4 linked regions of the Coturnix japonica genome follow. The protein of the gene in region 2 binds, or shares a complex with, the protein of the main gene of each other region. Links are inferred from orthologs where the notes say so. Each region holds a gene or a part of one and is shown on either strand. Other genes may lie near its edges.

What was found.
Region 1: SMARCA2 (region 2) and SMARCC1 share a complex: the UniProt entries of both Homo sapiens proteins name them as parts of the BAF complex. The link is inferred for Coturnix japonica from reciprocal best matches to the Homo sapiens genes SMARCA2 and SMARCC1.
Region 3: SMARCA2 (region 2) and SMARCD2 share a complex: the UniProt entries of both Homo sapiens proteins name them as parts of the BAF complex. The link is inferred for Coturnix japonica from reciprocal best matches to the Homo sapiens genes SMARCA2 and SMARCD2.
Region 4: SMARCA2 (region 2) and SMARCD1 share a complex: the UniProt entries of both Homo sapiens proteins name them as parts of the BAF complex. The link is inferred for Coturnix japonica from reciprocal best matches to the Homo sapiens genes SMARCA2 and SMARCD1.

Annotation. Positions count from the first base shown.
Region 1 is NC_029517.1:722,920-728,157, forward strand, and holds part of SMARCC1 (SWI/SNF complex subunit SMARCC1), read left to right. Parts: intron 1-669; coding exon 670-783; intron 784-1,609; coding exon 1,610-1,763; intron 1,764-2,411; coding exon 2,412-2,525; intron 2,526-2,953; coding exon 2,954-3,013; intron 3,014-5,238. UniProt on the Homo sapiens protein: Involved in transcriptional activation and repression of select genes by chromatin remodeling (alteration of DNA-nucleosome topology).
Region 2 is NC_029547.1:23,945,871-23,951,632, reverse strand, and holds the start of SMARCA2 (probable global transcription activator SNF2L2), read right to left. Parts: upstream 3,859-5,762; 5' UTR 3,706-3,858; intron 2,292-3,705; 5' UTR 2,148-2,291; intron 1,967-2,147; exon of another isoform or gene 1,873-1,966; intron 1,732-1,872; exon of another isoform or gene 1,613-1,731; intron 1-1,612. UniProt on the Homo sapiens protein: ATPase involved in transcriptional activation and repression of select genes by chromatin remodeling (alteration of DNA-nucleosome topology).
Region 3 is NC_029542.1:1,259,806-1,265,554, reverse strand, and holds the start of SMARCD2 (SWI/SNF-related matrix-associated actin-dependent regulator of chromatin subfamily D member 2), read left to right. Parts: upstream 1-2,005; 5' UTR 2,006-2,144; coding exon 2,145-2,312; intron 2,313-5,749. UniProt on the Homo sapiens protein: Involved in transcriptional activation and repression of select genes by chromatin remodeling (alteration of DNA-nucleosome topology).
Region 4 is NC_029544.1:347,173-353,030, reverse strand, and holds the start of SMARCD1 (SWI/SNF-related matrix-associated actin-dependent regulator of chromatin subfamily D member 1), read left to right. Parts: upstream 1-2,241; 5' UTR 2,242-2,277; coding exon 2,278-2,445; intron 2,446-2,565; coding exon 2,566-2,753; intron 2,754-3,923; coding exon 3,924-3,966; intron 3,967-4,063; coding exon 4,064-4,186; intron 4,187-4,455; coding exon 4,456-4,584; intron 4,585-5,071; coding exon 5,072-5,188; intron 5,189-5,518; coding exon 5,519-5,620; intron 5,621-5,717; coding exon 5,718-5,858. UniProt on the Homo sapiens protein: Involved in transcriptional activation and repression of select genes by chromatin remodeling (alteration of DNA-nucleosome topology).

The sequences.
Region 1 (5,238 bases), on a different chromosome or scaffold from region 2:
GTAGAAAACAGGCTCACTCCAGGATAAATGCTAGAGATATTTCTGGCTTAGGCTCCTTTCTCCACTTGGTGATGTGACCTTCACTAGTCAGTACTGAGCTTGTTTTGCAGCCAGGAGCACGGGGAGGTGCAGCTCTCCAAGCAGCTGACACCCCACATCTCTCCAGGAGTGGTCAGAAGTATATGAATATCCTGAATATCCCTCTGCAGAAGAGGGCCCAATGCCTGGAGGTGTTCAAGGCCAGCTTGGATGGATGGCCCTGCACAGCCTGGCCTAGTATTAGATATGGAGGTTGGTGTTTGCATAGGATCCTGCCTGTGTTTGTTTGCATATTTGCTTTTGTTCAGTGTAAGGAACAGAGATAACAAGTGGTGTTATGGTAGTTCTTACTGTGAGCACTTTGTATGAGGAAGCATCAGTACATTGCAGAAACACATTGAAGAAGGCTCAGCAGTGTTTATGGGGCAGGAATGGGCTGAACCCCACAGCTTGCTCACTCAGACTGCTCTGAAGCATGGGGGCAGCTCCTGCTTCAGCCCTTCCCAGCTCTGTGCATGGGGAGTGCTGGATCAGTAATAAGGTTGTTAGGAGAAGATGAATCCTAAAAGACATGATAAACTCCGTTAGGCATCAGCATACAATGTGAGCTGTGTCCCACCTGTCTTCCAGATACCTGGCTTACCGCAACTTCATGATCGACACCTATCGCCTGAACCCGCAGGAGTACCTGACCAGCACCGCCTGCAGGAGGAACCTGACGGGAGATGTGTGTGCTGTCATGAGGTGAGGGAACATCCATCTTTCAGCCAGTGCTTGCATTAGAAGAAAAGGAAATAGCGCGGCTTTGGTAATGGAAATGCTCTGGTAGGCAGGATAGGTGTGGGTAGCGGAATCAATTGAGTTTGAAGAGGCCATTTAAGGTCATCTAGTCCAGTTCCCCTGCACTGAACAGGGGCACTACAGCTGGCTCAAGTTGCTCAGAGCCCATCCAGCCTGGCCCATCCATCCAGTAGCCATTGTGCTGTCACTTTAGCAGTCTGTTCAGCCTCCTCTTGTAACCAGAGTATGTTATACTGTCCTTTATTTATGGAGTTCTGGGTGCTCGGTGAACCTACAGAGTTGGGGTCTTAACCTTTAGTGTCTGCTCTTTATTAAGCGTGTGGAGTTCATTTCAGAGTTCCTGGGTCTGCAGTTCAGTTTGGTTGGTTTGCTGTGTTTCACCAGATTTAAGTTGTGAGGTGCAGCAGAGCCCTGAAATCTCAGAACTTGCTGATGGTAGATCCAATATGAACAGCTACAGGTGGGTGAGAGAAGAAAGGGGTTGTGCAGCCCTCACATTGGTATGATGTCTGCAGATGGCTCCACATATGCAGCCTGAGCTTTACTTCATCTTTAAATAGATTTCCTGTTGTTCTGTTCCCGTGCTATATGCTAGGTGTCATGCTGGAGAGGTAATCAAGTCCACACAGTATGCCATATTTATTGCTCTTGTGATCAGTGAAGGTCTGTAGGAGGTGATGAGCCAATCTGATCCAAAACCAACCATTCCTTGGCTGTCTTTGCAGTCTTGCTTTGTTTCTTAAGATGTGGGTTTGTCCTGTTGTTTCAGAGTGCACGCTTTTCTGGAGCAGTGGGGTCTCATCAACTACCAGGTGGACCCGGAGAGCCGCCCCATGGCCATGGGCCCTCCTCCCACCCCTCACTTCAACGTGCTGGCCGATACACCCTCCGGCCTCATGCCTCTGCACATCCGTACCCCACAGGTGAGCCCTGCAGTGCCCTGGGGGTGGGAGGTGGCAGCTCTGGTCAGTGTCGTGCAGGAGAGTCTGCACATGTTGCTCATGGAAGGTGTTCATGAGTTCAGAATGGGTCAGTTGAGTCATATCGTATCATATCATAGACTGGCCTGGGCTGAAAAGGCCCACAGTGCTCATCGCATTCCAACCCCCTGCTGTGTGCAGGGTCAGCAACCAGCAGCCCAGGCTGCCCAGAGCCACATCCAGCCTGGCCTTGAATGCCTGCAGGGATGGGGCATCCACAGCCTCCTTGGGCAACCTGTTCCAGTGCATCACCACCCTCTGGGTGAAAAGCTTCCTCCTAAGATCCAACCTAAACCTCCCCTGTCTCAGTTTAAAACCATTCCTCCTTGTCTTATCGCTGCCCACCCTCACAAAAAGCCATTCCCCCTCCTGTTTATACACTCCCTTCAAGTACTGGAAGGCTGCAGTGAGGTCTCCGTGGAGCCTCCTCTCCTGAATCAGATCCGCACTGATGCTGTGTAAAGACATCTCCATAACTCATCATGTTGAGCTGTTTTGTTGGTTCTGTGTTGTGCTCAACCTTTGTCTGTAAACTTGGGGGATCCCTTTCAGCTCCTGACACTCCGTCCTTCCTTTCATGTTTGCTCACAGATCCCAGCTGCTCAGCAGATGCTGAGTTTTCCTGAGAAGAACAAAGAGAAACCCACTGACCTGCAGAACTTTGGGCTGCGCACAGATATTTACTCAAAAAAGACCTTAGCAAAGGTAAGTGCGTTTGGATTTCTGTTCCCCTGTGGCTTCTATTAAGTGGGTTCTATCAGTTGTCCTCCTCCAGATGACAGTGAAATGACTCGTTACTCTCAGATTCCCACTTCAGTTCTCACTGGAGGACACTGAGATGCCTCGCTGTATTCATGTTGGGTAAACAGTTTTGAAGGAGAGGACCACGTGCCTGTCCCAAACTACTCAGTGCTGTCAGTCTACAGACACTGAATTTGTGTTATCCTTATTTGATATTTTAATTGAATGCTTCGAAGTCAGCCAGGTGTCAAATAATTCAGTACAGAACCAAGAATCTTTCAGCAGAATCTTGAGTATAGAACTCAGGATCTGTCAGCAAAGTGCAATGTCTGGCACTTGGGCTGGAGGAATCCCAGTCATGAATACAATTGTGTTTTCCTCATCTTTTATAGAGTAAAGGTGCCAGTGCTGGAAGAGAATGGACGGAGCAGGAGACGCTGCTGCTGTTAGAAGTAAGTTCCTGGGGGAAAATGTAAGGCCAGGAGACAAAACCATGTAGGATTTTATACAGTAAGGAAAATGGACACGGAGGTTTAGTGGGTTCTTTTGAAGTCGGGGCAGATGGCAACAACATCCTTTTTGCTGCAGTTCTGAGACCCGGCAGACGTAGCTGGAGGGATGGGTGGTGGAGCTGTGTGTGCACGAGGCTGCCTGCTGCTGCTGTGCCTTTGGAGCTGGTAAAAGGCTGGGGCTCTCCCTTGAAGCTGTATCTCTTTCTTTGTCCGTCATCTCTACCAGAGCGCTGCTGCTACACAGATAGAGTGGAAGCATCTTGTACTGAGGGGACATTATGTTCTTTAAGGTTCACTTCTATCTGATTGTAGCTACAGCCCAGGAATTAAATGCTTAGATATGTTTGCACAGAGTCGAGAGCAGGTCTTGCAATGCAGGGAGGTCTTTGCATTGAGCAGCAGTTAGCAGCACACTGTGCCCTTCAAGGAATGGTTTATCTGCATGTAAGAACATGGAGAAGTTCTCTTGATCTTTCCAGGCTCTCCAATAAGCCATAACATGTTACAGGGAGCTGCAAACAGCCGCTCTGGAAGTTGAATTATTTAACACGCAGATTGTTTTCCTGTGCTCTGCCTCTTAATAAAGGAAGCTTTTAATTTGGTAGCCCTTGCATCCAGCACGTTAATTCATTCCAGGTGTGGCTGTCAGTCTGCACACTGCTCCATTCGGCCTGGGGAAGGACTTTGCTTATGGGGGAGAACAGTGAGGATGTGCTGTTCTGGCAGGGCTAATCTCAATGTGCTGCCTTCTTTTACTCCTGTTCCTGATAGGAAATGCTGGTGCCTCACACACAGCAAGCAGCCACCTCATGAAGTAATCCAGGCAGCATATTCATTTTTCTTTTAGGAAAACAAACAAAGCCTTGAGATTGCAAATGTATTTAATGCGAGTTTCAATTATTAATGTTCCTCATTCTTTGTGGATTTAACCTATGAATTAATCAGTACAGAGAGAATATCAGTTCAAGCGTAAGTAATGCAGCTGTAACGAGGCAGCTTGGTCCAATTAAATCCTCGGGGCGGCTTTGGGCAAATATCTGTGTGGTGCAGTTCCAAAGAGCAAATGGTACCTAAAATAGTCATCTCAAATAATGCCCATCCTTCCTCCTGTTGGCTGAGCAATGGGAGGGGTTGGCTTTCCCTGCCTGCCCCACTGCTCTGCCCCTCCGTGGTGTTCCAGAGCTCTCAGCTATTCCTAATAGGACTACAGAAATCTACCAGGGAGTGAAGGAGAATGAGTAGAAACCTTTCACGTGGCTGCAGGACGCAGCACTCGATCTGATGTGCTGAGTGGCTGCAGTGGGGATGTGATGACACGTGGTGGGATGGATTTAGGGAATGTGTGATGCTGAATGTGGGGTAAATGCTTCCCCACGAGTCTGACCCAGTGAATTGAGCAGTGTCACATTGCTTTAAACACTGCAGCAAGGGAGGCAGGAGGCTGGGGGAGCAGATCCTGAGCAGCTTGGGATCCTCAGTTCCAGAGGAGCTTGTCTGAACCAAATCCTTCTTCTGCTGGGCTTTTAAAGCCCCTCCTCTCATCTGCCCTGTGGGCTGCAAGGTCTTGTGCTGTTCTTTCCCCCCAGCTCAGCTCAGCTGGAGCACAGCTTCCCTGGGCAGGGGTGGCCCATCTCACCTCGGCACTGAGTTGCCTGCTATGCTGGGCATGGTGGTGATGGGCTGACCCAGACGTGGTGACCTCAGAGGGCTGTTCTTACCTTAACCAGTCTGTGCTCCTGCTCGCTTAGGGAAGCTCAGATGTCATGGGGAGGTTGGTGGGGAGCAGGAGGGCTCTGTCTGCTGCACTACATCCTACATGCAGACGTGTGCCTGAGAAGCCCACAGCTGCCAGGATTATCACAGGGATCCTCCATGATCTCATGATGTAACACTTAGTAGTTCCAATGTGGCTCTTCCCTTGCCCTGAATTACTGCTGGGACACCCAGCTGTTTGTTGTGAGGAGATGCACAAACAGCTGCCCTTTATTTCTGCTGTACTGCTCAGTGTAAGTAAAAACCAAGTAGGCTTCCAAGCCAGTTACACTGAACTGGAAACAGAGGTGAGACCCAATGAACAGGCTGATGGATGATGGATGCCCCATCCCTGCAGGCATTCAAGGCCAGGCTGGATGTGGCTCTGGGCAGCCTGGGCTGCTGGTTGCTGA
Region 2 (5,762 bases):
AGCTGTTTCAGTTTTCCACGAAGAAACAAACTACTTAAACTCACAGACTAAATTCCCCAAGAACACTGAAACAGCACCAAGAAATGACCACCTACCAGCTGGGGATGAACATACTAACCAGCCCCATAGAAGTCATTCTAAGTCAGAGTTCATAGAAGTTAGGTTAAGCTATGTCACCAGACTTCAATGAAGAGGCCAAAGCACAGCCATGACCCTTTCCATTGGATTTGCTACAGAAGCCAACAGCCTTCAAGAGAAAAGGAGGGCAGGCACGACAGTTGGAAGTTTACTGAACTGCCTTTTAACCCCATAGCCATGGTCACCACTAACAAATCTGTCAATGCCCAAGATCAAGCCCATGTCTGCTGCACACGTAGGTTCTATTGTACATCCAGGGCACAGCGAACTGTCTCATGACAGCACTGATTGATTATAGATTAAGTTTCCATACAGTGACCTTTTCTACAAGTATTAATGATGATTAGTGAACATCATCTTCGTGTCAGACTCTGAAAAACAAAAGCCACAATTAGAGGTAGGCAGAGGGAAAGGAATTAATTACAGGTCTCTATTTAGATGGGGAAGAAAAGAAGGAAGAAAGCTGTTTCTTACTATGAGTTGTTTAAAATAAAATATCAACAAAGATGAGGCAAAGGCATCATTTTCATGACAAGAAATGTTCTTAGCATTTGCCCTAGAGATCCTGGCTCTAAATGATTCACCTAGGTGCTGCAACCCCACAGTAATGTGCAGGGACACACTCAGAGCAAAACGTTTATCCACAAGAAGAGTAGACTTTAAATGTGTTAGAAAAAATAAAAACAATTTTCAGTCTTAGTCTTCTAATCCTGCTACACCAGCAGACTACCAGAGCTGTGTCTGAAGAGCCTTGCTTCTTTCTCCAAAATCATCCTTCCTTATTTTATGGCTTGCAAATAAGACATAAACTGTTCTCTGCTGCCATTTTCACGACAAGCGGTCTTTATGTTGTAACACTGTTCTTCTCATCCCGCTGGAGGATCAACTGAACAACTGAAAAATAAGACTGATACAGAAGAGATGTATGTCCAAGAAACACTCCATACAGAAAGAACACACACGCACGCCAAAAAAGAAAAAAAGAAGGAAAAAAAAAGGTGTTTTAACAAGCAATCTGCAAAGATGTCCAAATTCATTTAAAGAATAAAAGTCTTTTTCAGTTTAGGATTGCTAGTTCACAGCAACACTGATAGTTCAGGCCATGAACACTGATGGAAGAAGTGCAGACCACGCGTATTGTGACCTTAACTTCAACAAAACCTGAGAAAATATATCTAGAAATGTTAATTTCATGTACACCTTTGTCAAGAACGTATTTCATATGAGTGTTAGCTGGAGCACTTTTTCCTCTTGTCAACTTCAAGCCTCAGGCGTTGGTCAAAGCGTTTTTCAAACTTCACAAGAAATGCTCACAGACCACTTCAGAAATGAACAAAAGAAAAGATCTGAGACTACTTTGAACACACTCTTCTGGCGCATATGTTCTATGAAACACCACAGAAACACCAATACTGAAGCTGAGACATAACAACTCATGAGAGAAACGCTGGATTTAATGAAGCTTTAACCTCACCTCTGTCACGTCCACGCATTCTGTGTGATACACCCAACCCTGGATGTATTTTAAAACGTTCATTATTCGATCTTTCCTTCTATTGCTGACACAACCCGGTCTTCACCGCTACCACTCTCCTACATCATTTTTCGCACAGAATCACAAAAGGACAAAAGAAAAGAAGTCAAAGACAGTAAGGGGGCAATTAGGCTCCCGAAGAGAAAGTGTGCCTCGATTTGCATAACAATGCCCGGCTCACACGGCAGCGACGGCCCCACCTCGGACTGGTGCACTACTGAGGGAACTCGGCTCCGAAACGTGTGTTTGCCTGGGCCACAGAGGCTGTGGGTAACGCTAAACGACACGAACAAACTGGAAACAAAAACAAAAGAGATTGCAAATGGCACAAGGCGGTGTCACAGGTCCTACGTCACTTTTTTGCAGAAAGCGCGCACACTACTTCCAGTGGTAAAAAAAAAATAAAAAATAAATAAATAATTAGATGAAAACCGATCGCTGTTTTACCGTTCCCTTTCTCCGGTTATTTACTTACCCAAAGTATTCGCGGAAAGACAAAAAACGCGGTGTTCACCGAAGTTCGGCGAGGCTGCGTGTCGTCAACAGCCGATGCCGAGGCGAATCGCGCGGCCACAACAACCGACACGGAACGAGACTAATTACTTAATAACGATGCGCGCTTCGCAGAAAGCAAATTGGAAAGGAGAGGGAGGAGAAAAAAAAAAAAAAAAAAANAAAAAAAAAAAAAAGCATTTAACGGTAACTTCGGCTGCAGCGTGAAGGACCGTAACTTTCCCAGCTGTGCACAGACTGCCATTCCACCATGACAAATTTGGGGGGGAGGGGGAGCAGTCAGAACCCGAAGCCCGTCCGCTCCGCTCCGCTCTTCGCCGTCGGTCCGGCCCCGCTCGCGGGCTCCCGGACGGCGTCCGCGGGACCGCTACGCACCGCCCGCGCGGGGCAGGGCAGCGCCTCGGCAGCGCCAAGCGGCTTCCGGCCCGGCCGAGGAACGTAGGCCTCGGCGAGGCGGCGGGCTGCACCCCGCCGGGCCCCGCGCGCCCCTCCGGCCTTCTCGGAAAGTTTTCGGCACGGCCCAGAGGCTGCACAGCGCAAGGAGACGCGGCCCCGCTCCGTCCCTCCGCCCGGCCGGGCCGTGTGGCTCCGTACCGCGGCGGGGTGCGGCGGCGGGCGGGCTCCCCCGGGGGCACGCCTCAGGGCAGAGCCCGGCCCCGAGCCCCGCCGCCCCGCGCCCCCGCCACCATGTCACCGCCACCCAACGCGTCCGTGCGCGGAGGGGGCCGCTTCCTGATCGTCCGCCGCCGCCCCGGCGAGGACAGAACTTTTCCAGGTGCCGAGCTCGGCCGGCACGGCAGGGCGCTGCGCGGCGCCGCGTCCCGTACCGGCGGCTGGTCCGACCGAATTAAAAATAAATAAATAAATAAATTTCCGCGCACACCGGAAATAAAACGCTTTTCGCTTGTTAAGGCGATCGCCAAACCGCGAGCGCACGTTGTGTGTGTCTGTGTGTGTGTGTGTGCGTATGTCGCTGTGCGGGGCGGGGGCCGGGCAGGCGCGGTGCCCGCGGGGAGCAGACCGGAGGCAGCGGAAGCCCCGCGCGGGGCCGCGGCCCTCCCTGCCTGCCCTCCCTCCTCCCTCCCGCGCCGTGACAGGCGCCCAGCCCGCGGCCTCCCGCTGCCAGCAGCGCTGCGGAGACAGCCCCGCACCGCGCTCAGCCGCAGGACGCCACAACTTCCCCGAGCCACGCAGCCGCGGTGGGGAAGGGGCGGGCGGCCCCGGCCGCTGCTCCGCACTCCGACTCCGTCCCCGCTGCGGACGGAGCCAAAAACCCGCGGCCGAACGGCGCTGGCGGGCGGTCTCTGTCCCATTCCCCGGCTGGCGGTGCGCGCGGGGCTTATTCCCCCGACACCGCAGCCAAACTTTGTTCTCCCCGCGCCGCGCTGGCGGTGCGCACACCGGGGCGTACCGGGCGGGGGGCGGCCGGGGCTGCGCTCCGTGAACGCGCGGGGCGGCGGAACGGAGCTGGCGGGTACGGAGCTGACGGCGCGGGGCCCCGCGGGGCGAGGTGCGTTTACCTTCCGCTCGGGCGGAGCGCCGCGCCGGGTGTCGCGCCGCTGCCTCTGGGCGAGCAGCGGAGCGGGGACGGAGAGCGGCTAGGCGCCGAGCATGACTTCACCGGTGACAGCCATTCCCTCCGCTTCCCAAACTCCGGCCCCGCCCACGGCCCCCTCCGCCGCCTCCCCGCGCCGACGCCGCCGCTGCTCAGGAAGCGCCGTTCCCACTGGCCCGCCGGCGGGGTCTGCCCGCCCCCCAGCGCGGAGCCGGCGCCCCTATTGGCTGCCGCCGCCCGTCGCTCAGCCGGGAGGCCGTAGGGCGGGGAGGTGCGGTATGCGCCCGGCTCTGCCCGCGACAGCCGCGCCGCCGCCGAGGCTCCGCCACGCCGCCTCCCGGCCCGCCCGCGCGGAGCGGAGCGCGGGGCTGGGGCCACCTCCGTGAGGAGGCGCCGGCGGGCGGCGTGGGGAGAGGTGGAGAAGGTGCTGGAAGCGCGACGCTGCCCCGCGGCCTGCCTGGGCCGGCCCGCCGCCGCGGGGCGGAGCGGGGAGGAGCCGGGCGGAGGGCGGCGGGGCCTCCCGCACCTGGCGGTGTGCGCTGCGGGACACCTGCGGGAAGGGACGCACACACACAAACAAAAAGGCTCGCGGAAACGCGATACCGAAACTTCGGGGCCGCAGCCGTGGCGCGGTCAGGAGGCGGCCGAGAACGTTCAGGGCGGTCGCCCCCTGTCCAGCTGCGGTGCCGAGCCCCGCCGGAGCCCCGTGCCGCCGGGAGGAGCGGCGGCGGGTCGGTGTCGGCACGGTGCGGGCGGGTAAATGGCGCCGCCGTGCCGCTCCTTGTCCCCCGCTGTCGGCACGCTGCTCGCTCCCCGGGCCGGAGGGGCTTTATCCGTGCCCGGCCACGTACCCACAGGAGGCGGCGCGTCGCCGGCGCTGTTTGCGGAAGGTACCGCTGTTTATGTAACGGCGCCGCGGGGCCGCGCTCGGAACAGGCCGTCACGGGCTGCTCAGACATAAGCACGCCGGCAGGCAGAGCGCGGCTGAACGCGCGGTCCTGACTCCGAGGCTGCCGCTGTGCAGGTGATGTGCCCGTCCTACTGCGGGCTTTGCAAGAGATCAAGTTTAAAGTGAAGGAAAGCGTGCCTCTCCCCTCTGCCGCCTGCGTTTAACGTGCTGGAGTTGGTGACTGGGTTTAAGGACCCGGAGCACCGGCGGGTGTTATTCTGTGGTTGCTTTGGACCTTTATTGCTGGTGGAATGTGAGCGGTAACCATCCGGTTATAACCTAGCGATGCAGTGTTAATGACTGTTGTTGCTGTGTGTTCTGAGGCGTCACCGCTCGATCATTAGCTTCGTCTTGATTGTTTTTCAGAGTGACTGCCAAAATACCGATAGATAATTGTCAATCAGTGGTAACGCCGGGCAACGCCGAGTGTCCAATAAAACGACTAGGGAAGGTACTCAGTTCGTCACTGTTTTTGTGGGCAGCATCGAGGTGCAGACGAAATAAATGGAAACGCTTTCAGTTCTGTGTATACAAGTATCCACTATCGCTGCTTGAAACTGTGATCCACGAGTGATGTGGGACTTAATTTTAAACCCCACTTTATAAGTAGCAGTCCAGCTTCTTTGAACTGAAAGAACATAGTTCAGGCTTTTAGGAATTGATTCTAACGCAGCTGAAAGGATTCTCCCTCTTTCTTTTAATTTTTGTCATACCATAACTATAAACAGGTATTTGGTGGGCGGATTCTTTGCATGTTTGTTTTTATCTATTCCCAGAGTCAGTCTGTAGGCCCTGCACTTTTTGCAAAGAGAAAGCAAACCCCAAGCAATGGAGGGGAAGCTTCTGTGCTGTGCAGGGCAGTATTCAAACCATTACAAACCAGCTCGAGCCAGTTTCTGTGGGTTGTGTTTTTGGGGGTTTTTTTGTTTTGTTTTTTTATGGTTGGCTGTTTTTTAGTTGTTTTTTGTTTGGTTTTGCTTTGTTGTTTGCAAGAAAGGATACAGGGAATAAGGAAGGAAAGTAAAATTAGTCTTACAGGCAAAAGCTGTTCATTAGGCTTTTAGATAAATGTA
Region 3 (5,749 bases), on a different chromosome or scaffold from region 2:
TGTGTTAATCATTATCTGCCCCCAGGAACCGTGCTGACCTCCTGAAAGGGAGTTTTCATTAACAAACACGCAATGGATGCTCCCAGTTTGCATCCAGAAAGAAAGTTTCCATGTTGGGTGCAAACTCACCAATGGGGGTCTCCCTAATTAGGCATCAGCCTGTGCTATGTGACAGGGAGAAGAGGCTGGGATAATTATCTCCTCCATAAAGGTCCTTTAATCAGCTCGCTCTGCATTCTGACCCTGTGCTAACGATGTGGCACCTGATGGGAGAGTGGAAAAGGGGAAGATCCAAAGAGGAACCCCAGCAAAGCATCGGTGCTCATCAATCACAATGAGGAGCTGGAAGCAGAGCTGGAGCAATGGGAGCAATGAGTGCAGGACTGGGAGGCAACGAGCTGCCCCCAGTGTGAGTTATGAGACATGCACAACCAGCTGCACGGCTGCAAACACACACTTGCACAGCCAAAGTGCAAAGCAACATGCCTGCACGTGCATGGTGCATGCACACGTGGACACATGTGCAAACACATGTGCAAACACACGTGCACACGTGGGCACATATGCAAGCATGTGCACACACATGGACACGTGCACAGCTGTGTACATACACATGTGCATGCATACGTGTGCACAGCTGCACATGCATGCACACACAAGTATGCATCAAAACACATGGACATACCCTGACACGCATGCACATGCATGTACACACTTACATACATGCTCACACATGTCCACATGCAGGCACATTTACACACATGTACACATGTGTGCATACACATAGAGACACGTGCATGTGTGTGCATACATGTGCACATATAGGCACATGCAAACATGTGAATACACATGTGCACACATACACATAAGGACATGCCTGCACATGGAGGTACATACATACACACAGAGGTACATACATGAGGTGTACACATGAAGATCCATATACACCCACACACACATGTATGAACATACATGCAATCATATGCACATATAATCACATGCACTAACAGCTACACACGTGTACACACATGCTAACACATGTACCCATGCACATCCATGCACACATGCAGATGTGTTTACACCACCCACACACATACACACATACATGCACACACATGTACACACGTACGTACATGTACTCAGGAAAACACATATGAACACACATGTACACTATTATGAACACGTGCACACATGTACACATACACACACATGCATGCAGAGTGGGCACGCATATGCACACACGTGTGCACACATATGCACATATCAGATGCATACACGGCCCTAAACATGCAAACACACACATGCTGGCAGAGATATGTGCACACAATCACACACATGTGCACACATACAGCCAATGGGGGCGGGGCCTCACAAGTGGGCGGGGCTTTGTTTAAGGGGCGTGGCCACACAGAGGGGGCGTGGCTTAGTGAAGGGGCGTGGCTTAGTGAAGTGGTGTGGCTTATTGGAGGGGGCGTGGCTTAGTGGCGGCTTTTGAGGGGGTGTGGCTTGGCAGAGGGGGCGTGGCTTTGCTCTGGGGGCGTGGCTTAGCGGAGGGGCGTGGATTATTGGAAGGGGCGTGGCTTATTGAAGGGGGCGTGGCTTATGGAAGGGGCGTGGCTTATTGGAGTTAGCTTGGCTTAGTGGATGGGCGTGGTTTATTGGGGGGCGTGGCTTTGCTCTGGGGGCGTGGCTTAGTGGAAGGGGCGTGGTTTTATCGGAGGGGGCGTGGCTTAGTGAACGGGGTGTGGCTTATCGGAGGCGTGGCTTTTGCTTTGGGGCGTGGCTTATTGGGTGGGGCGTGGCTTAGTGAAGGGTGTGGCTTTAGTGGAGGGCGTGGCTTATAGGATAGGGCGTGAACGGGTGTGGCTTATCGGGGCGTGGGTTATCGGGGGGCGTGGCTTTTTTCTCTGAGGGCGTGGTTTAGCGGAGGGGCGTGGCTTAATGTGGGAGTGGGCGTGGCTTAATGTGGGAGTGGGCGTGGCTTATCGTGGGAGTGGGCGTGGCTTATCGGGGGTGGGGGGCGTGGCTTCTCACGCCGCGCGCTCCCTCCGCTCCGGGCGCCGCCGCTTCCGAGTAAACAGCGCCGGGCCGCCCCCCCAGCTTTAGGCCCGGCCCGGTTCGGTTCTGCCCGGTCCAGCACCGCCATGGCCGCCCGTGGAGCTTTCCCTCTCAGCCCTCTGCCTCCCTCCGGCTCCGCCGCTCCTCCTCCTCCAGGGCCCGGACCCGGTATGATGAGAGGCCCCAACCCGACTCCGGCCTCCGGGGCCGCTCCGGGATATCGTCCGATGGGGCCTTCGGGAGCGCAGTACCAGGTGAGGGCGGGCGGGGGGCGGCTCTGTGCTCTGTATTGGGGATGGGAGGTGGGAGGTGGGATTGGGGGGTTACTTAGAGGCCTCCAAAGGGGCCGTGGGGGTTCAGAGGCCTTTTGGGCCCGGAGGAAGCGGCGCTGCTTCCTGAACGTGGGGCCCTGGCGGTGGGGGGGGAGCGGGGCTCCATAGGGGCGGCTGTCCTGGCCCCCCACCCCCATTAAAAAGTTAACGGAGAAGTGTTCTGCCCTATGGAGGTGGTCCCGTACCCCCCCAGGCTGTGCTGTGGGGGTCCTGGCCCAGGAGGGTCCATCACAGCCATCCTTGTGCATTTCCAGCTCCGGAGATGGAGCTGTGATGGTGAACGTTAAAGGGAAGGAATGGGGATAAAGGGGAGTAAATGTGACCCGCTGCAGTGCTGGAAGCTGTGGACTCTGCTCTCTTTCTGCTGCCTTTTCTGCTGTTGGTTCAGCCCCCACGTGTTGTGGGGTTGTTTATGGAGAAGCCTCGTTCTGCGATGAGTTCTGAGTTCCAAACCGAAGAAATCCAGTCATCCACATGGGGGGAATTTCCAACTGCTGTATCAAAGGAGGAGAAACAACCCGTGAAGCTGAAAAACCCCGAAGTGAAAACTGAGATGAGCTCAGCCAGGCCAATAGGGCCCTGCATTGGCTGTAATGTGACTCAGAGCTATAGGGAGGCTTCATCCCGACCTTCCCAGGTTGCAGAACCCAGCGGGCATCGCTCTGTTGTGGGTAAACAGGGGCACATATGTTTGCTTTCACCCCCCCCCCTTATCCCATGCTGGCCATAATACTGCACTCATGGCAGGTGTTGGGAGCGTATGGATGGGGTAGGGTGAGACTGGGAGCATATGGCAGTGCTGCAGTGTTTGGGTAATGCAAGTCGTTGTTGTCGTGTCTGGCCGGCAGTTTGCTGGCACAGGGAGGGGATTGGGGGCTGATCGATCCGGTCTGTCTTTTGTTTTGCAATTTGCAGGCCTGTTTAAAGCAGCTCCTCCCCACCAAGTGGTCAAAACTGCGGTGCCCGCAGGACTTCTCAGGGGGTAACCAGTGAGTCAGGCTCCTTCTGCTGCATTATGCTGGCTAGGAGAACACAGCAGCCCTCATGTATGGCAGCGGGTGCTTAGGGGCTCTTTAATCAGTGGATTATTAAATGTATGTTAATCCTTTGACATCCCTTGCCTGCCTGGCTATGCACCAGCAGCTCAAGAAGGGAAATGGGGAGGACAACTCACTCTAGCACTGATGTTTCCAGAGCAGAAAGGAGTGGGAGTGTGTTCATGCAATGGGCGATCAGCTGCACGGTGGTGTGTCCACCCCCATCCCAAGGCTCAGGTTAGCATAAATCCATCAGGAGTTCCCTCTGTTTGTTGTAATGGAGGTTTCAGGCTTGGGAGATCCTTCCCGAGTTATCAGGTTGATGCTGTGGTAGGGAATGGGCTCAGCTCTGTGATGCAGTGGAGGAGGGGCTGTGCAGAATGGCCTTGAGGTTGCCCTGTGCTGTCGCTTTGCTGGCGTAGATCAGTGGCAAAAAAAAGAAGAAGTGGAGTTAATGAAGTGCCCCGTTAAAAGCATTTCATTGGCACTTGCTGACAAGCAGGAATCCCATTTCCGTGGGACGGAAGGGCTGTTGCAAGCCAAACAACTGCTAACAAAGTGATATTGGAGGAAGCGTGGCTGTGCATGGAAGGAGTTGGAGCTTTCTGCTTCCAAACAGACCTGCTGGATCCCATTAGGAGAGGAGAGCTGGGTGCTTGTCCCATGGTTGGCCTGGGGACGGCAGCAAGGCTGGAAGTGCAGCACACAGCAGGGATCTGCAGCTTGCATTGCTGCATGACCCACCCTTCCCAGTGGGGGACTGTTTCCAAGGCAGGTTTCATCAGAGGCTGAGCATCCAGCAGAATGAAGCCGTGACACAAAGCAGAGCAATGCTGTGCTCTCAGTGCTGGATAGAAGCAGGCAGCAGCAGAGCTCAGGGCACCCTTTGTTTCTCCTTAAGGCTCATGGAGGTTCTGCTCGGTGGGAGCATCTCCAAAGCTTCCTGCTGGAGGCCTTTGCTCTGTCTTCCTCCATAGGGACCCTCAGAGCCTTTCCCTGCACATCTGAGCAGTGTTTTCCACTCTTCCCATTGCTTCCCCCTTTGTATTACTTGAGGCTGCCACGTTTTCAAGCAGGAACCCAACACCTTTCTTCCTTGTTCCTGCTTGTGTTTAAGGCATAAATCCCCTGAGTTCTTTCTCTGCCTGCTGCAGCCTCTGTTCCTTAGGTTGCTCTTTGTTTTACACCTCCTTCCCCCTCTTACCCTGTGCTCTCCATGGCCATCAGCACGAGGTGAAAGTCCCAGGCTGTAACTCGTGCATCCCTTCTGTTCTCTTGCCAAGTCCCTGCGGTGTGGAAGCTGCTGAGAAAACTTCACTTAATGTGGCCTTTCCCCTTCAGTGTCAGCATGGCTGCTGGGTCCTGGTGTGAGCGCTGCAGCCTGCACTGCTTGCAGCCCATGACCTGGATCATCTGCAGCTGCAAAGCCACACGTGGGCAAGTTTGCCTGAGCCCAGATATCTCAGCTGGTGCTTGACGTGTTGCCAGCACGTGTCCTCAGTCTGCTCGGCTTCGCTGCCTGTTGCTTTGCTGTCCGCTCTTTAATTTAATGCTTCCTCACCAAGTTTTGTAGCTGAGGCTCCTGCTGCTGGAGCACTGGATTGCAGCTGATCTGAGCATCGCAGCAGCCTGCCTGCATCCAAGAGCTTGCAGCGAAGGACGGACGCCTCACCAGCAGCAACAGCTTCCTGCTCATGTTCACTTTGTCTCCTCCCCTTGCAGGATGGGGTTTGCAATGCAAGTGTTTTGGGGTGTGCTGCAGGGGTTTCAGTTCATCCCAAGCAGTGCTTTTGTTGGGGCTGAGCAGCCCAGTGCAGAGCTGGGTTCCTGTTGTTGGGGCAGGGTTTGCTTTAGCCCACACCACAGCAGGAAGTGATGTGGGATGCACAGGGGGGGCTGGCAGGAAGAGCTGCCCCCCGGCACCTTTTGGGTGAGGACACACACATGGGTTTTCATTCCCCAATTATTTAGTGGGTGCCAAGAGCAAACTGAGTGGAAATGGGGCATTGCATCAGGACAGCTCGATGCAGTTTGGGGGGTTTTATGAGCCTTCCTCAAGGCTCTGCTTGGGGAGCCAGCAGGGAGCTGCTGGTGCTCAATGCATTGCAGCCTTCTTGCATGCTGGGGAGCTCACACCCTGCTCGTGGTCCTGGCATTGCCACAGTGGGAGGGGTGAGCTCAGTGCAGGAGGTTTGTGCAGCACCCCCTCACTGCTGGGTTCTGGAGAGAGGCTGATTTCTGACTTACTGCTTTTCTTCCAGCGTAATCTTCACCCTTCTTGCAGATCTATCCTTCAATGTTATGGCTGCTCACCACCCCACC
Region 4 (5,858 bases), on a different chromosome or scaffold from region 2:
GGTCTTTGCAGCCCTGGAGCCAGCAATAGGTGAGGAATGGGTGCATGGCCAGAAGCCAGACAGGAATCAATGTGAGTTGTGGACAAGCTGCACATTTTCTGACTCCAAGCTCCAATGTACACACCATCTTTACAGCACCAGAGCAGGAACGAGGATCCTTGCATTGCTCAGGATTATAGGGATGGGCTGTGAACAGCTGGCGGGCTACAAGGTGTGTGATGCATGCAGAGTGTGCATCCAAGGCTGTTGGTGCACACTGCGCACAAGACAAGGAGTTAATTACACTCCCCAGGAAGCATCACTGACAATGCACGCGAGGACAAGGTGCTGCACGCCTCAGCCTGAGGTTGCTGGGAAGCACCTGCTTGCACACGGCTGATTGTGTAGCTGCTGAAACCCTACAGAGCAAGGATTAATCACGCACCATGCAGATAGCGGCGGCACTGATAGCATCACCTCCTCTCCTCCACAGCAATAACTCCTGGTTACCACTTGCTCTCTGCTAACGCTGCCAGCAGAAACAGGCACTGGGCTATAATTACACAGCCCTGGATGCTGCTCGGCTGCCTGGAGCCAGAGCCACGCGGGCTGGGGAAGGTTTCAGCAGAGATGCCTCATGCCAGCAGGTGCAGGAAACGAAGGTGCACGGGTAGCATTTCACCGAGCAGTGAACCAAGCAAACCCTCAGGCTGAGGGAAGGAGAAAGGACAAGTGTAAGGAGACACTGGGGTTATTTCACCCTCCCTTGCTTCTTATGAAACACAGCTAATGACAGAGGACAAGGAGAAATGGCATCAGAACGTCCCTGGAGAGGGGGAGCTGGGGCAACACTGTGCTCAGCTCTTAGGAACCCACAGCTCTTAAGTGTGGGTTGGATGAGTGGACAAGGGCTGAGCTGTGAGAAAGGAGCTCTGCAAAAAAAGACGTGGGTCTCTTGGTGGCCAACGGGGTAACCATGAGCCAGGAGTGTGACAAGAAGGCTAATGATACCCTGGGGTGCACTGCACAGAGCCTGGCCAGCAGGGTGATGGAGGGAGGTGCACCTCCCCTCTGCTCTGCCCTGGGGAGGCCACAACTGGAGCACTGGGCTCAGTGCTGGGCTCCCCAGTTCCAGGCAGACAGGGAACTGCTGCTGGAGAGAGACCATTTCTCAGCTCAGCCCTTCCTTATTTCTATATCCCTCCCAGCCACTTCCTAACTCTGTCCAAAGGCTCCTGCCGGGCTTTAAGCCTCACTTGAAGTTGCTGCATCTGAACAATACGGAGCAGATAAGTTCCACCGCTTCTCCTCACCATGAATATTTCATCAGGCAGCCAGGCGCCAAGGCTGTGTTGGAGGTGGCATTACATTAACTGCACGGACACACGGATGCTGAGACAACAGCTAATGGCTGTGCTCACGGCATCGTGTTTTCTATCGAGGTCAAGAAACACTGAATTTGGTGGAAAAGATGCCAACAACTCCCCACTTTTCTCCTCAGTCAACAATGCCATGCACTGTACAGGACAGCTTCCTAAATGGCCTGTGATTATCATTAATTGCTTAATTAATACTTGCGGTGTGGCTGCTCTCTTGGATTTTATTCATGGATTAATGCAGGCTGGATGCAGGTCCCTCTGCTCTATGAGCAACCACACGGATGAGTGCCCTGGGGACAAGGAAAGTAATGCTAATACTTGCAAAAAGCGGCCTTTAATTCAGCGCTGTGCCTTCTACTGAGGGAGGGAGGAATCCTCCTCCAAGCATCCCCAGCCCTAAGCAAAGCAGCCCCAAACACGAGCACAGAGCACCTGTAAGAACAGGGGACCCCCACCCCAACTCAGTCACAGCATCGAGGCTTAATGAGCACCATCCTCCAGCACCTTGCACCCTCAAAACACTTTCCTATGGTCCATGCATGTCCCCAGGACGCAGCCCCTTCCCACACATCCCCCCCTGCAAATACCCCATCCCATCCATGGTCTCTGAAACCCCCAAACCCAACACCATCCCATAGCCCTCTCCAAGTCCTCTACCCCCACCCACAGCCCTCCCCACGCTCTACACCCCCCACCCCCACCCCAGAACCTTGCCATACTCCCCCAGGCCCCTATTCCCCCACAGTAGTGAACCTTAAACCCACCCACGACCCCCTCCCCACCCACTACTTCCCACCCCCCGCAGTTCCTCCCGCCGGCAGGGGGCGCTCTCTGCAGCCGTTGCCGCTCTAGGCCGCTGTCCGCGCTCTCTCTATGTCAGAGCTCCGGTTCCGGCCCGCTCCTCTTTGTGCTGGACAAGATGGCGGCGCGGGCGGGCTTCCAGTCAGTGACTCCCAGCGGTGGAGGCGGCGGGGCCGCTACCGGGACCGGAGCGCTGGGTCCGGGCACACCAGGCGGACCGGTGCGCATGGGCCCAGCCCCGGGACAGGGCTTGTACCGCTCACCTCTACCAGGGGCCGCCTACCCGGTGAGGCAGGGGAGGGGCCGCTGCGGGGCGGGGCGGGAGGGAGTGGGGGCGGCGGGGCCGAGGACGGGGCCGGCTTCCCCCCGGGTGGGCATTGGAACGGCTTTTTTCTTCCCCTTGCAGCGCCCTGGGATGTTACCGGGCAGCCGTTTGGCACCGCAAGGCCCCTCTATGGGGCCGCCCGGGTACGGTGGGAGCCCGGCAGTGAGGCCCGGTATGGCGCAGGCCGGCCTGGATCAGGCCCGTAAGAGACCAGCGCCGCAGCAACTGCAGCAGGTTCAGCCTCAGGCGGTGCCCAACCGCAACCACAAGTAAGAACCGGGGGTGCTGGGGGGCTCAGGGAATAGACGGTGCGGGGGGGGGGGGGGGGGATCAGGGCATCCTTGGCCATCCTTAGAGCTGTGAGTGGGGGGAGGAGCTCGGGTCATTCATAGGATAACTATGGGGTAGAAAGGCTCTGGGGACATCGTTGGGTGTCCTCTTGGCAACAGGGGGGTTCTCAGGGCAATGGGTGTCCAAAGGATGCTGCCAGGGCAGTGGGAGGCTTAGGATATCCTTGGGTATCCTTGAAATAGGAAGGGTTCCTGGAGCAGATGAGGGTCCCAGATCTTCCCTGTGCTCCTCCAGGGCAGGGGAGGGAACAGTGAAGGTCTCAAAATGTCCCTTGGGCATCCTCAGAGCAGCAGGGGTCCTGAGGACATCCCTGGGATGGCAGATGAGTCTTGGGCATATCCTTGGGCATTCCTATGGCAACAGGGTTCCTCAGGACACCCCGAGGGCAAAGAGGAGTCTCAGGGCATCCTTGGGTCCAAGGGGTCTTCGAGGTATCTCTGTGCATCACCAGAGCATTGAGGGTGCTCAGGGCATCCCCAGGTGGACGTGGACACATTGCTTCTCTCCTCATGAAGCCCCATGGGACGAGATCTGTGTATCAGGGTGAGGGCAGGCATCACTGAGCTGCAGGCTCTCTCTGAAGGGGTCAGCACTGACTTGGTGTCATCTGCTGGCTGCTCAGAGCAGCACAAAGCTTTTCTGTGTGCAGAGCCAGGCCTGGGCCTCTCATTGCTGCTTTTTTTTTGTTGGGTGGCTGAAAGAAACTTTGATGTTCTCGTGCAGCTTCGTCTCTGGTAGAGGGGAATTTCCAGCAGATAAAAAAGTAATGTGCAACTGCTGGACAAGAGCAAGTTAATGTTCAGTTTCTGATAGTACAATGTGATGCCTTGGTAACGTTGGTAATGCATCTCTGAGTCTCCTAGAAAAGTCTGTCTAAAGCACATTGAGCCATAAGGCTTCCTTTCCAATGATGCAGCCTTGCTTTCATTGCTTTCCTTGGGGATGTATTAAGGCGATCAGCTGCTGCAGGGCTGAGAGCATTGCTGATGCCCTGGTCCTAAAACACAAACCTCATCTCGCTCCTTTTGTGAACGTCCAGTGTTAATTAGCAGAATGGTTGCCATTTTAATGCTCTCCTTACTTTACAGTGCTAAAAAGAAGAAGATGGCAGACAAAATTCTACCTCAGAGGGTGAGTGGCATGTGCAGTTGACAGCCTCTGCTGATATGGAGATGTGGGGGAACTGACAGTGATTTGCATTCTTGATTGGCTCGTGTTCTGCTTGTAGATCCGTGAACTTGTGCCTGAGTCTCAAGCTTATATGGACCTGCTGGCCTTTGAAAGGAAATTGGACCAGACGATCATGAGGAAACGCTTGGATATCCAGGAGGCTTTGAAACGACCCATTAAGGTAGGAGAGGGACATTCAGAGACTTACTGTTATCAGAAGAGTAGGAGGGCTTTGAAGGTTGTGTCATAACCCTATAAGCATAGAGAGAACTGTAATGCCCAGGACTTAAGTGGGGGGGTAGAACCAAGACTGCCTCTCTCTGTGCTGTTTGTCCTGAGAGTGGATGTATGAGGAAAAGAAGAATATTTAGCTTAGTTTTAACAAAACATAAGCATGATTCTCATCCCTTTGCTTCTGAATGAATACTGAGCTGATGCTTTTTCTTGTAGCAAAAGCGAAAGCTACGTATTTTTATCTCCAATACCTTCAATCCAGCCAAGTCGGATGCAGAGGATGGTGAAGGAACAGTGGCCTCCTGGGAGCTTCGAGTAGAAGGAAGGCTGCTAGAAGATGTGAGTGTAAGGCACCCAACTGCAGAGCTGATTTGATGGGTCTGGAATTGGAAATTGAACCAGTTTCTTAGTGTCTGGGAGTGTAGCTAAGGGCTTGATATCCTCCTTCATCTCTGTTTTCCAAGGAGTCTGATGGTGACGAGACCGAGAGCCCAACTCGGAGACCGATGGGTATCCCCATGGCAGAACATGAGTTATACAAAGTTCTTATAGCTATAAGAATTAATGGTGAGAGCCGATCAGTAGCACTTGTGTACCCTGGCTCTTAGAACCAGGGCACTCGCATTTTATGTAATTGCTGAGTAAGTTAATTCCTCCAAGCTCATCTTTATCTCCAGTCTTTCACCATTTTTGACTTGGAACTTGATTTTCGAGCATGTGTTGATGAATGTAAGTGTTCACAACTTAAAGGAACACTGCTGTGCACCTTGCCTGTGCTTGAGTCCTGGAACTTGCTCTCCTGACTCTCTCTTCCTTCCTGTGTTGCTTGCAGTCTGCTTTGTCCAAATACGATGCCACCAAACAGAAAAGAAAGTTCTCATCCTTCTTTAAATCTCTGGTCATTGAACTTGATAAAGACCTCTATGGCCCTGACAATCACCTGGTAGAGGTGAGCTTGCTTCTTTTTGCTGTATTATCTCTACAAATGGGTTGTTGTTCCAGCAGATTGAATTTGTGTGTAGTTGGTAACTTGTGAAGTGGGATATTTAAGGCTTTAACAAGTGGCTAGGTGCCAGGGCTGAATTCTCTTGAATTCTTATCTTAGCTTTTCCACTGACTTGCCAGGGCTCTGAATAAATGCATTAACTCTTGTTTCAAACTATAAATGGGAATAAGATGAATCTTCTGTCGTGGGGGAGGTTGGGTGGCAAGCAGCGGGAGCAAAAGGAATCGAGCGTGTAGGTGCAGCTAAATCCCCCTCCTGTTGCACGTATTCCAGTGGCACAGAACTGCTACAACTCAGGAGACAGATGGCTTCCAGGTGAAGAGGCCAGGAGATGTCAATGTGCGCTGCACTGTCCTTCTGATGCTCGATTACCAGGTGAGATGCTGGATAGCAGTGCTGGGCACACGTAGCGTTTGCTATGCTGTATCTGTGGCCATAGTCCCCTCTCACCTCTCTGTGCTTTTTCTTTCAGCCTCCCCAGTTCAAACTGGATCCCCGCTTGGCTCGTCTGCTGGGGATCCACACTCAGACTCGCCCAGTGATCATCCAGGCTTTGTGGCAATATATCAAAACCCACAAGCTCCAGGACCCCCACGAGCGGGAGTATGTCATT